Linked DNA regions of Arabidopsis thaliana. The protein of the gene in region 1 interacts with the protein of each later gene in a pairwise test. Each region holds a gene or a part of one and is shown on either strand. Other genes may lie near its edges.

What was found.
Region 2: the proteins of CHR11 (region 1) and RLT2 interact in a protein complementation assay, tested with the Arabidopsis thaliana proteins (2 studies listed by BioGRID).

Annotation. Positions count from the first base shown.
Region 1 is NC_003074.8:1,939,022-1,947,004, forward strand, and holds CHR11 (chromatin-remodeling protein 11), read left to right. Parts: upstream 1-1,951; 5' UTR 1,952-2,044; coding exon 2,045-2,242; intron 2,243-2,449; coding exon 2,450-2,581; intron 2,582-2,676; coding exon 2,677-2,783; intron 2,784-2,894; coding exon 2,895-3,007; intron 3,008-3,210; coding exon 3,211-3,308; intron 3,309-3,398; coding exon 3,399-3,578; intron 3,579-3,660; coding exon 3,661-3,882; intron 3,883-4,078; coding exon 4,079-4,213; intron 4,214-4,295; coding exon 4,296-4,578; intron 4,579-4,655; coding exon 4,656-4,729; intron 4,730-4,839; coding exon 4,840-5,060; intron 5,061-5,136; coding exon 5,137-5,224; intron 5,225-5,302; coding exon 5,303-5,396; intron 5,397-5,472; coding exon 5,473-5,667; intron 5,668-5,748; coding exon 5,749-5,783; intron 5,784-5,892; coding exon 5,893-5,969; intron 5,970-6,067; coding exon 6,068-6,157; intron 6,158-6,255; coding exon 6,256-6,325; intron 6,326-6,431; coding exon 6,432-6,486; intron 6,487-6,576; and 12 more. Other genes in the region: AT3G06390 (Uncharacterized protein family (UPF0497)), read right to left, coding at 1-104, 198-324, 427-686. UniProt on the Arabidopsis thaliana protein: Possesses intrinsic ATP-dependent nucleosome-remodeling activity. Constitutes the catalytic subunit of several complexes capable of forming ordered nucleosome arrays on chromatin. Involved in the formation of nucleosome distribution patterns.
Region 2 is NC_003076.8:17,780,795-17,785,457, forward strand, and holds the start of RLT2 (Homeodomain-like transcriptional regulator), read left to right. Parts: upstream 1-1,633; 5' UTR 1,634-2,279; intron 2,280-2,374; 5' UTR 2,375-2,377; coding exon 2,378-2,489; intron 2,490-2,580; coding exon 2,581-2,994; intron 2,995-3,074; coding exon 3,075-3,154; intron 3,155-3,254; coding exon 3,255-3,635; intron 3,636-3,729; coding exon 3,730-3,819; intron 3,820-3,900; coding exon 3,901-4,065; intron 4,066-4,151; coding exon 4,152-4,374; intron 4,375-4,480; coding exon 4,481-4,581; intron 4,582-4,663. Other genes in the region: AT5G44170 (S-adenosyl-L-methionine-dependent methyltransferases superfamily protein), read left to right, coding at 1-304. UniProt on the Arabidopsis thaliana protein: Transcriptional regulator required for the maintenance of the plant vegetative phase.

The sequences.
Region 1 (7,983 bases):
ACATTACAGATCTTGTTCCACCCAACTTCTTCGTTTCCTTTCAACGCTATGTACGCAACTCCTCCCGCCGTTCCCGTTGCAGACGCCAAAATCCCCAGCATCACCTGTTCATATATACATATTCCGGAATTATTACTTAAAACACCCTAATTAACATGGTATATGGAAGTTTCAAAGTTCCTTGTAAAACAAGTTACCATGTCTAACGAGGCTAGGTAAATGGAGAACTGTGCAGTGAACTCAGGTTTCAAGAGTAGAGAGATGGAGACAAGTGTTGATATGAGCGCATAGAAACTAGCTACCACGAGAGCAACCACGAAGTATCTGCATAGATATATAGCCAATTTAACACATTAAGTTTAAACTAGAAAACATTCCATGATTATGATCAAACATGGAGGAATTTAATTAATTAAAGAGACAAACATGAAAGCGGGCGAGTCATTGAACTCGGCGGAGACAGGAGCCGGAGACGAAACTCCAGGGAGCTGAGTCATCTCTGTCTGGTCGCTAGTCACCATTACTATAAGAGCAGTCAGAGTGGCGGAGAAAAGCAGAACTCTTGTTATAATGTCTATTTTACGACAATCTAGGAAACTGGCGGCTGATGAGGGTGGTGGTGTAGCCGACGCGGGAATCGGTTCAGATTTGCCAGTTTCAGGGTCAGGGTTCTCAGTAGACGCCATCAGATGATTCTATAACTCTTTTGTGGATTAGGTTGTGGTTAAGTTTGGACTGTGAGTTATGAAGTTGGCCGCTACATGAGATTATTTGTGAGTATATATATATAGATAGTCCCGGTGATGAGTTGTAGTTATTACCCACACGCCAAGAAACAAATTTATATTTATTTACACTATTCACTAATGTATATATACAGGAACATGAATATCAATTCATTTAATTTCTAGCTTGCATTTTTCATTGTTTAAAATTTCGAAATAGTTTTTGGAAAATTCACTAGATGTTGTAGTTTTATTTCAACGTTAACATATAATGTTTGTTACAACAAATTTTGCATGCATATCTATTTTTGATTAATAGAAAAATTAATATATTTCTATAGGTATAAGTTATGGATAATGTAGATATATACAATGGGAATGTGTTAGGCCAACCCCGGGAAGGTTGGTGAGGAAATTGGGCGACGGTAATCAAAAACAAAATACAAAAAAGGAGAGTAAAGAACAGTAGGAGTGGTTAACCAATCATCTGCATGAAAAAGGTAATTTTATACATGCTCTTAGGTATCACTTTGCTTTCTGCTTGTGGCTGCAAATCATGTAAATGGATATCTTATTTTATGTAAAAACATTAAACTGCAAGAAACAAATGTCCCAGTAGCATGACCACTTCAGCACTTCTCAAACATATTATAATGTTTTAACATGGATAAAGCTATTTCAGATACTAATCCAGTCGAAATAGAGTAGTTTTGTCTTAGCAAAATCACCAAACTTTATCTCTTGATACCAATACAGAGTGACTGCACAAGTCTGAGAACAACACAAAAAAAGTCAGACCTAACAGTAATAATATATATGAACTCATCATGATTTTTATTTCATATCTTAATAATACCTAACTGGTTTTAGTAAATCCAAATATATAAAATTAGAGATAGCTTTAACAAATTGGGGGCGATGATCAATCACAAAGATTAAAAATAGTGTAACTGGAGAATCTTTCTCGAGCAGCTCCAGCATAGTAATAAGTTGGGGAAAATATCGGGCTTGAAAGTGGGTCTTATGGGTCAGTCAGGCCCAACTATGATTAAACAAAGCCCAAATCGCGAATGTTCCAAAACAACTCTCTTGCTCAGGTGGCGGGTAATTAATTACTAATTCCCCGTTCGATGAAGCGACTAGTTACATCGTAGCCATATATTTATTCAGCTTAATCAACGGTTACAAATTACCCTGAAGCTTCGGTCGTTTTGCAATTTGTATCTAAAGTTTCACTTTTTTTTTAAAATCTTTATTTTACTTTCTCACAAGCGAAGCGAACCCTCGATCTCAAGGCGAAAGCAGATTTCGTAGCTTCCATGGCGAGAAATTCGAATTCCGATGAGGCTTTCTCGTCAGAGGAGGAAGAAGAGCGGGTTAAGGATAATGAAGAAGAAGATGAGGAGGAGCTCGAGGCTGTTGCTCGTTCTTCTGGCTCCGACGATGACGAAGTAGCCGCCGCCGACGAATCACCAGTCTCCGACGGAGAGGCTGCTCCCGTAGAAGATGATTACGAGGTAGCTGCAGGCTAATTTCGTTTTGATGGCTGTGATTTTTGAAATCTCAGTGAACTGCATCTTTTTTGTACTTGGAAAGTTGAAATTTCATTTAATGCAATGGATTCGGCGTTCGCGTCTTCCTTCGTTTGTTAGTTTTAGTCGAATTTTTGTTGAGTGAAAGTTCATTGAATGTCTGCGCATGGTGGCTCATTGTGGTATAAGCAGGACGAAGAAGATGAGGAAAAAGCTGAAATCAGCAAACGTGAGAAAGCCAGACTTAAAGAGATGCAGAAGTTGAAGAAGCAGAAGATTCAAGAGATGCTGGAGTCGCAGAATGCTTCCATTGACGCGGATATGGTGCGTTGTTTGAACTATATATTTCAGGTTTTTAGCTACTTTTCGTTCTCGTGCTTTTAAGTTCTGACGATTCTGAATCATTCCATGTGTTTTAGAACAATAAGGGAAAAGGGAGACTGAAGTATCTTCTGCAGCAAACTGAGTTATTTGCCCACTTTGCTAAAAGTGATGGATCTTCTTCTCAGAAGAAGGCAAAAGGAAGGTGTGTTAGATGCAATTTTTTCCTAAAATATCGGTTCATCATTGCTTCTAGCTTCAGAGTAAATATGATGAGCCAGGCCCTGATTTATGTGGTTTTAACTTCTACCTTCAGGGGACGTCATGCTTCCAAAATAACTGAAGAGGAGGAAGACGAAGAGTATCTAAAGGAAGAAGAGGATGGCTTAACTGGATCTGGAAACACACGGTTACTCACACAGCCCTCTTGTAAGTACCTGTATTTTGCTCTTTAGTCTAGGATTACTGTATATTAATCGTCTCTCTAGTCTCGAGCAACAAGTACAATATGATTGACATCTCCGTCCATTTGCGTAACCATACATATTTTTGTGACCTCACAGTTAGTATGTAGTATAGCGTAAATTACTGGGAAAGCTTGAGATTCATCTATTTTTCTTCTCAATCGACAGGTATTCAAGGGAAGATGAGAGATTACCAATTAGCTGGTTTGAACTGGCTCATTCGTCTTTATGAGAATGGCATAAATGGAATTCTTGCTGATGAAATGGTAAATAATTCTCCCCCAACGATCCAAGCAGAATAAGTTCTCTATATTCTGTCATGCTAATCATGAAACTTTTTTTTCCCTGTGGTCTAGGGTCTGGGGAAGACGCTTCAAACGATTTCTTTGTTGGCATATCTTCATGAATACAGGGGAATCAATGGTCCCCATATGGTGGTTGCTCCAAAATCAACACTTGGTAATTGGATGAACGAAATTCGCCGGTTTTGTCCTGTCCTACGTGCTGTGAAGTTCCTTGGTAATCCTGAGGAGAGGGTAAGTCATGAGCTGTCTGCCATTTCAGAATTTCATGTAAACGTTTATCCCAGGATTCTGAAATGTCTGCTAACTGATGCAGAGACATATTCGAGAAGACCTGCTAGTTGCTGGGAAATTTGATATTTGTGTCACAAGCTTTGAGATGGCCATCAAAGAGAAGACAGCACTTCGTCGGTTTAGCTGGCGTTATATTATCATTGATGAAGCGCATCGAATCAAGAACGAGAATTCACTCCTTTCTAAAACCATGAGACTTTTTAGCACCAATTATCGGCTTCTTATCACGGGGACCCCCCTTCAGGTGTTTGCTCTATCTTATTCTTGAATATTTGGACATTGAAGTTTTCTTTGTTAAGTTGCTTCTAATTGAATGTTGAAACAACCTTTCTTGTACGGCTCTGTTTGCACTCTTAACTTTTGCTTTTCCGGGCACTTTTAATATTTACCGTATAATGACTGTGTAGCCTGCTGTACTCATATTGTCCTCATATATGCAGAATAATCTCCATGAACTGTGGGCTCTTCTAAATTTTCTTCTGCCTGAGATTTTTAGTTCAGCAGAGACTTTTGATGAATGGTTTCAAATTTCTGGTGAGAATGACCAGCAAGAAGTTGTGCAACAACTGCACAAGGTATGGATGCACCCATTCCTTGCATTGAGTTTATTCTGTTCTGTGTGAGTCGTAGGTTAATTGCTTTCATGTATCTTTTTAGGTTCTTCGACCATTTCTTCTTCGAAGACTAAAGTCAGATGTTGAGAAAGGTTTGCCACCGAAGAAGGAGACCATACTTAAAGTTGGTATGTCTCAGATGCAAAAGCAATACTACAAGGCTTTACTGCAGAAGGATCTTGAAGCGGTTAATGCTGGTGGAGAACGCAAACGTCTGCTAAACATTGCAATGCAACTGCGTAAATGCTGCAATCACCCCTATCTCTTCCAGGGTGCAGAACCTGGTCCCCCATATACCACAGGAGATCACCTTATAACAAATGCTGGTAAGGCTAGAAATAAACTAGATCCTTCAGATTTCTGTGGAAGTTTTTTATGAAGCATCTCTATATTGTTATTTTAGGTAAGATGGTTCTCTTGGATAAATTGCTTCCTAAGTTGAAAGAACGTGATTCAAGGGTGCTGATATTTTCTCAGGTAAACGCTAATACAGAACAGCTGGATATAATGGTTTCTTACAGTTCATCTTCTCTTTTTCCTTTGTCTATGTAAAGTCTGAGCCTTATTCTTTTCTTTCCACATGTCAGATGACAAGACTTTTGGATATTCTTGAGGACTATTTAATGTATCGTGGTTACTTGTATTGCCGTATTGATGGAAACACTGGTGGTGACGAACGAGATGCCTCCATAGAAGCCTACAACAAGCCAGGAAGTGAGAAATTTGTTTTCTTGTTATCTACTAGAGCTGGAGGGCTTGGTATCAATCTTGCTACTGCAGATGTTGTGATCCTTTACGATAGTGATTGGTAAGTCTCTCATCATTGTCCACTGTAGTTTATGAACTTTCTCTTCACGTTTGACGAGTCTGGCATATTCTGGCAGGAACCCACAAGTCGACTTGCAAGCTCAGGATCGTGCCCATAGGATTGGTCAAAAAAAAGAAGTTCAAGTGTTTCGATTCTGCACTGAGGTTGGTCTCCTCTCCGTGAATTTCAAGTTAAAACAGCCATGAGAGGTTTAAAATTAATTATGTGTTGTTTGTTTACAGTCTGCTATTGAGGAGAAAGTGATTGAAAGAGCTTACAAGAAGTTAGCACTTGATGCTCTGGTTATTCAACAAGGGAGATTGGCAGAACAGAAAAGTAAGTGCGTTATACAGTGATTGCTTTATGCATTGGTTCATCTCTGACAGAATTGGTATTTATCTTAACTATGCAGCTGTCAATAAGGATGAGTTGCTTCAAATGGTAAGATATGGTGCTGAGATGGTGTTCAGTTCTAAAGATAGCACAATCACAGACGAGGATATTGATAGAATCATTGCCAAAGGAGAAGAGGCAACAGCTGAACTTGATGCTAAGATGAAGAAATTCACAGAAGATGCTATACAGTTTAAAATGGATGACAGTAAGGGTGTCACTTACCTACTATTTCCCCTATTAGGTTGTGTGAATATTGTAATGTTTTGATAATCTGTTGTTTTATTTGTTGTAGGTGCTGACTTCTATGATTTTGATGATGACAATAAGGTAACTTGTATATTTCTTTGCATAGTCTTAACTTTCATGTCATATCCCTAGCTTTGCTCTGCATTACTGATGATAAAATTTACTAATATATTTGTAAATTTGTTCATAGGATGAAAACAAGCTCGATTTTAAAAAGATTGTAAGCGACAATTGGAATGATCCCCCCAAGCGGGAGAGAAAGCGCAAGTAATGATTACTTCTGTCTTATACATTGTGCAGTCCTATTTTGCCAGTCTTCATATCTAAAAGAAACATCCCTTTTGTTTTATCTACTGTATCTTCAGCTACTCTGAATCTGAGTACTTTAAGCAAACATTGCGGCAAGGTGCTCCAGCTAAACCTAAAGAGCCTAGAATTCCGCGCATGCCCCAGTTGTGAGTACCTCAACAACCTCCATCTCATTGTTGAATGCCTTTTCCCTGTTTTGATGATTTTCTTACACTAGAAATCTAATTTATTGTCCCTCTTTCAGGCACGATTTCCAGTTCTTTAACATTCAGAGATTGACCGAGTTGTATGAAAAGGAAGTACGTTATCTCATGGTAGGCCTCTCTCAAAACGAAACACTTGATTCCTTTGATGTGCTTAAGAGCGAGTTTTTTTGCCTTATAAAAGCAACTTGCTTCTTTTTGTGCTTTTTGGTTTCAGCAAACACATCAGAAAAATCAGTTGAAAGACACAATTGATGTTGAAGAACCAGAAGGTCAAGCTTGTACCCACTTTGTTAACATGTACCCACTTTGTTAACATGTTTTTCAGCAAACCTATTACTGATTAAGAATTTTTTTGTTAGAAGGTGGGGATCCCTTAACTACTGAAGAAGTAGAAGAAAAGGAGGGATTATTGGAGGAGGCAAGTGAATATGTTTGATGTTAGAGTGGTCTTAGACATTTGATTTGGTAGGCTTTAATTAATTTTTTGTAATTGTCAATCTCCAGGGTTTCTCAACATGGAGCAGAAGAGATTTTAATACTTTCCTCAGGGCTTGTGAGAAGTATGGCCGCAACGACATAAAAAGCATTGCCTCTGAGATGGAAGGGAAAACAGAGGAAGAAGTTGAAAGATATGCCAAAGTATTTAAAGAGCGGTACAAGGAGCTGAACGGTAAGTAACACCTTTCAATGCTAAGTTATGCAGTGTTTTTACATGTTTCTAAGTAATTCCTACCTCCAAAAAGAGCTTATGCTAAGTAAGTTTATCATCTTTCCCTCTAAATATGTAGACTATGATAGAATCATTAAGAACATTGAGAGGGGAGAGGCAAGGATCTCTAGGAAAGACGAAATCATGAAGGCCATAGGGAAGAAACTGGATCGCTACAGAAACCCTTGGCTGGAACTGAAGATTCAATATGGTCAGAACAAAGGCAAGCTGTACAATGAAGAGTGTGACCGTTTCATGGTATGTCTTTTTCTCGTTTCCCTTTTTGCTGTTCTGTCTCATTAATTATATCATGAAGTTTTTGACTGTTGAGGAACTTTGGTGGTGAAAAACAGATCTGCATGATTCACAAACTTGGTTATGGGAATTGGGATGAGCTAAAGGCAGCATTTAGGACATCGTCTGTGTTCAGGTTTGACTGGTTTGTGAAATCCCGCACGAGTCAGGAACTTGCAAGAAGATGCGACACTCTGATTCGACTGATCGAGAAAGAGAACCAGGAGTTTGATGAAAGAGAGAGGCAAGCCCGCAAAGAGAAGAAGCTCGCGAAGGTAAAATAATGCAATATTTTCATGTATAAGGTTGTATTCTTTTGATTTGATTTCTTTAGGTGGTTAATGCTTTTCTGGTTTTTAATCTTTGAAGAGTGCAACACCATCAAAGCGACCTTTAGGAAGACAAGCAAGTGAGAGTCCTTCATCGACGAAGAAGCGGAAGCACCTGTCGATGAGATGAGATTATGTGTTTACGGATCTGTCGAGTCTTTGTTGTTACATATAGTTAAGCTAATGTTAAAAACATAGCAAATGGATTTCATTCTGCTTTCATGAATGTTTGTCCTGGTTTGACTTGGATTTAATGAAATGACTTAATTATAATTTTGTAGACTTCTCTTCCGTAAAGAAACTGAACAAAAGGATTTGAGGCCATTGGATGGCAACTTAGGCTGAAGCTTAAGCAAAAGTTATGAGTTTCTGAGGGATATATGAACAGACGATTTTTTCCACAATTTATTACTTCTTTGTTCAACGGTTGCATT
Region 2 (4,663 bases), on another chromosome or scaffold:
GATCTCGGCGTTGAAACCGCCGTTTGATTTGGTTATTGCGGCGGATGTTGTGTATATTGAGGAATCTGTAGGGCAATTAGTGACGGCGATGGAGTTGCTTGTGGCGGATGATGGTGCGGTGTTGTTAGGTTATCAGATTAGGTCACCGGAAGCTGATAAGTTGTTTTGGGAGTTATGCGACATCGTTTTTAAGATTGAGAAAGTTCCTCATGAGCATCTGCATTCTGATTATGCTTATGAAGAAACTGATGTTTATATCTTTAGGAAGAAGGTGAAGAAGAATGAAGCTGAATCAGTGTCATGAAGCTAGTTTTGGTTCTGTAATGTTGTTGTTACATTGATATGTAATTTGTTTCTTGTTATAGAATTCGAATTATCTCAACTATTTATATTTTCTTAGATATTGGCTACTAAAAGATGACAAAGGCTGAAATCAAATTTTTGTAACGATTTTTTTAAGAAGTATACAAGTTTTGTTGTGTGTTTTTGAAATATATACAAAGTAAGTTCTCTTGCCCAAAGAAATATGTGAAGTAACCAACATTGTGTTTCTATATTAGACTGATAAATTTGTTCACAAATGTATTTGTAGAACTCTCAATTGGGTGATTGTATTTGCGAGTTTTATTCCACATCGTTGTGGAGCGGCTGCGGTTGAAGAACCAAAGTTCGGATTAGAAACAGCTCGAACAAGCCAATCCCAAATCAAACCGCATACATACGTGATATGGTATTTCTATAGTGAAGGAAGTGTCAGGGTATTACTTTCACCTTTCAATGTTAGCTCTCTACTCATATCATAATCTATGGAAGGAAAAACAAAATTAAAAAATAGAGGAAAAAAAATGATCTATATATCGGACATGTAATTTTTAGAGCACACATATTATCACTAGAGAATCCCATCTAAGCACATGTTATGATGTTTGTAGTAAGAGTTCTCATATATATATGTATATGGTGTAAGACACTGATGACAGTTCTCATATATATATGTATATGGTGTAAGACACTGATGACAGTAACCAAATATGCCGTTTTGAGCAGCCACATTCAACAATTTATGAAATATAATCAAAATCTAAATTGTTCTTGAAATCAAACTTAAACACTTCCATCTTTCTTTGTTCTTTGCATAATAAAGCTCTTCATGAGCTATTCAATTTCTATCTTAATATTTCTCAAGCTTAATGGGCATCAGTCTAATCTTGTTTATTACAATTTGAAGTTCATGATGATTAAAAGGGGGAGCTAAACCACATTTTCTATATGCTAAGGTCGTAGCTAAAGCATCTAGAATCATTTTCACTAAGAAATATATTCTCTCTTCCAAACTACACGTTTACTCTTATGAAGATTGGAAAATCAGAGTAAAAAAAAATGAATCGATTGGACGACAAAAGAAATTAATAAACAGGCTTAGTTATGGGCTAATTTGGATAATGGGCCTTTATAGAACCAAATCAGTGAAAACTACTATAAAAAAAAGTAAGCGGTTGGATTTATTACATGAACTGGGCAACGGTCAGGTCCAAGATCCAAACACAAAGCGACAAAACACAAGTCCAAAGAAGAAAAAATATATTTATTTTAAAATTAAATTTGATAAATGCAAAGCGAGAGAAACAAAGAGAGAGAAACGCGAGCCCTGAATCAAACTCCCTCGATTTTCACAAAAACCAACCCAAAGAAAAAAAAGAAAAGAATCTGACAATTCACCAAACAACTCTCTCAAAGTCTTAAATTAAAATTTTTTGTCAATCAATTCACAAACTCAAATATCTTTTTATTTTTCAATATAAATTTTCGAAGGAAAAAAAGAAAAGTAGAAAAAAATCATGATTATGAAAGAAACGAATAGTCAGAGGCAAAACACTGTTGTTGTTGTTCGTTCGTTCGTTCGATTGTTGTTGCTGTTCTTCTTCTCACGATTTCATCTTTTATTTCTTTTAATATTAAAATTGTTCTCGGTTTATATTAATGATCTTGTCGATATTGCGAGACTAAAATGTTTAATGTTTTTGATTTTATTTGTGAAATTCCCAATCACATTCTTAGTAGTAGAGAGAGAAAGGTTTTTTCTTTTTGGTCTTTTGGTGGACAGATTTTTATTCTTCTTTACTTCTTCTTCCTCTTTTTCGTCAAACCATAAACAATAATCCAAACCCTTTGTTCTTCAGATATGTTCTTCTCTTGACACACACCTAATCTTTCTCCACCAAAATTTCCGACCAAGTCTCATACTTTTGATCTGTTTTTCAACTTTCTCATCAGCCCAAGTAAGTATTTTTTTCTTACCCATGACTGAAATCAATTTCATTAGTTTTTGTAATTTCTAGGGTTTCCAATTTTGTGGATTTGGGGATTGTTGCAGAAAATGGAAGGTGGGTCTGAAAAAACAACACCTGAAGGTTGTGGTGGTGAGAGTAAGTCTAAACGGAAAATGAAAACTGCTGCTCAACTTGAAGTTCTTGAAAACACTTATTCAGGTTTGTTTCTGTCTTCCTCCATTGTTTTTATATGAAGTTTCTGTTTTGTGTTTTTATAAGTGAAAGTTTTGTGTTTTAATTTTATTTTCAGCTGAGCCTTATCCTTCGGAAGCTATAAGAGCGGATCTCTCAGTGAAACTGAATCTTTCCGATAGACAGTTACAGATGTGGTTTTGTCACCGGCGGCTTAAAGAACGGAAATCTACTACGCCGAGCAAACGTCAGCGTAAGGAGTTAGTAACTCCAACGGCTATGGAATCCTGGGAACCACCCGTCAATGCCGGTGATTTAGTGGCGGGAAATGAGCTTGATTCTAGAAGAGCTGCTCGAGGCAGTGGCGGTAGTGGTGTGACGGTTGTGAGGCGGTTTAATGAACCGTCTTCTGCTGAGGTTAGAGCTATTGGTTATGTTGAAGCTCAATTGGGAGAGCGGTTGAGAGATAACGGACCGGTTCTTGGAATGGAGTTTGATCCTTTACCTCCTGGTGCATTTGGCATGCCTATTGGTATATAACTACTATACAACACTATATTTTGCTTCTTAGTATCGATAGAAATGTTGCTTAATTAGCTATAATGTTTGCAGAGATGCCAAGCCATCGCAAGGCGACTAGGCAAGCTTTCGAGACCAACATATATGTCCGATCCGATGTCAAGCCTATCAAAGTTAGTTTTCTATTAGTATTGATTGTCTCATGATATGTTGTTGTTGATGCTTGAATCTTTTTTTGTTAGTTCTCAATGATTTGTCATTTTTACATTTTAGGATCATGTGAGGCCTATTCGTGAATATCAGTTCATTCCTGAGCTGCCATCTTCGAGGACTGATCATTCGGAACGAGTTTCTCCGTCACATCATTTTGGAGTTCCACTTGATGGTTCGGTTATGAGGGTTTCAGCTGTGTCTGCTGGACATCGGGATGACTATAAAATTTCACCTCAGATACCAAATTTGAATCTTGCAACTCATCAAGGGAAGCCGGGGCATGTCTATTCGCCTAACTTGGTCGAATATGACTCACCGTATCAGAAAAGCTACATGGATACTGCTGCACAAGTTCATGATGATCCTTTTGTGAAATCAGAGAGAGAAGTTGGTAATGAGGATGAGGATGATGATGCCCTGCAATTAGAGAGACACCGCAAGGTTTGTAAACGAGGTTTTCGTGCGAATTTTTTGTATTGTATAAATAGCTGGCAACTGTACTCATAATTTTTTCTCCTTTATATATTCATTGTAGAATGAAGAAGCAAGAATAGCTCGGGAAGTCGAGGCTCATGAGAAGAGGATCCGAAGGGAACTAGAGAAACAAGATATGCTGAGGCGAAAGGTCTTGTTCTGATTTAAGCTAAGCACATACGTTTTTAACTGTATTTGTTGTTTGTGTTCATTGTGTCAATTGGTTTTGCAGAGAGAAGAGCAAATAAGGAAAGAAATGGAGAGGCAAGATCGTGAAAGACGGAAAGAGGAAGAACGTCTTTTACGTGAAAAACAGAGAGAGGAAGAGAGGTACCTTAAAGAGCAGATGCGAGAGTTGCAGCGAAGAGAGAAGTTCTTGAAGAAAGAAACAATCAGGGTAATGTGAAATATGCGCTACATTTAAGTTTCTTGAGAACTCACTTGAAATGTTGTTTACTCATTAGCATCTCTTATTATGACTAGGCTGAGAAAATGCGACAAAAAGAAGAGATGCGTAAAGAAAAAGAGGTTGCCAGGCTTAAAGCTGCTAATGAGAGGGCCATTGCTCGTAAGATCGCAAAGGAATCTATGGAACTTATTGAAGATGAACGCTTAGAGCTCATGGAGGTTGCTGCGTTAACAAAAGGCTTGCCTTCAATGCTCGCCCTTGACTTTGAAACTCTACAGAACCTCGATGAATATAGAGGTGAATCAATAACTCATTTTGTTTTATTTTATCTATTTTTCTGATTCATTTCAGCTGTTTATGGGAATTGTATCTTACATTCATCTGATGGATTATATTATTTCAGACAAGCAGGCAATATTTCCCCCAACATCTGTAAAATTGAAAAAGCCCTTTGCAGTCAAGCCGTGGAATGGTTCTGATGAGAATGTTGCAAATCTTCTTATGGTGACTTTTCCCATCTTATCTGTCGTTAAATTTTTCCACTTTGATGTGAATCTCAATAACAGTATATACATAGAAACGAGTT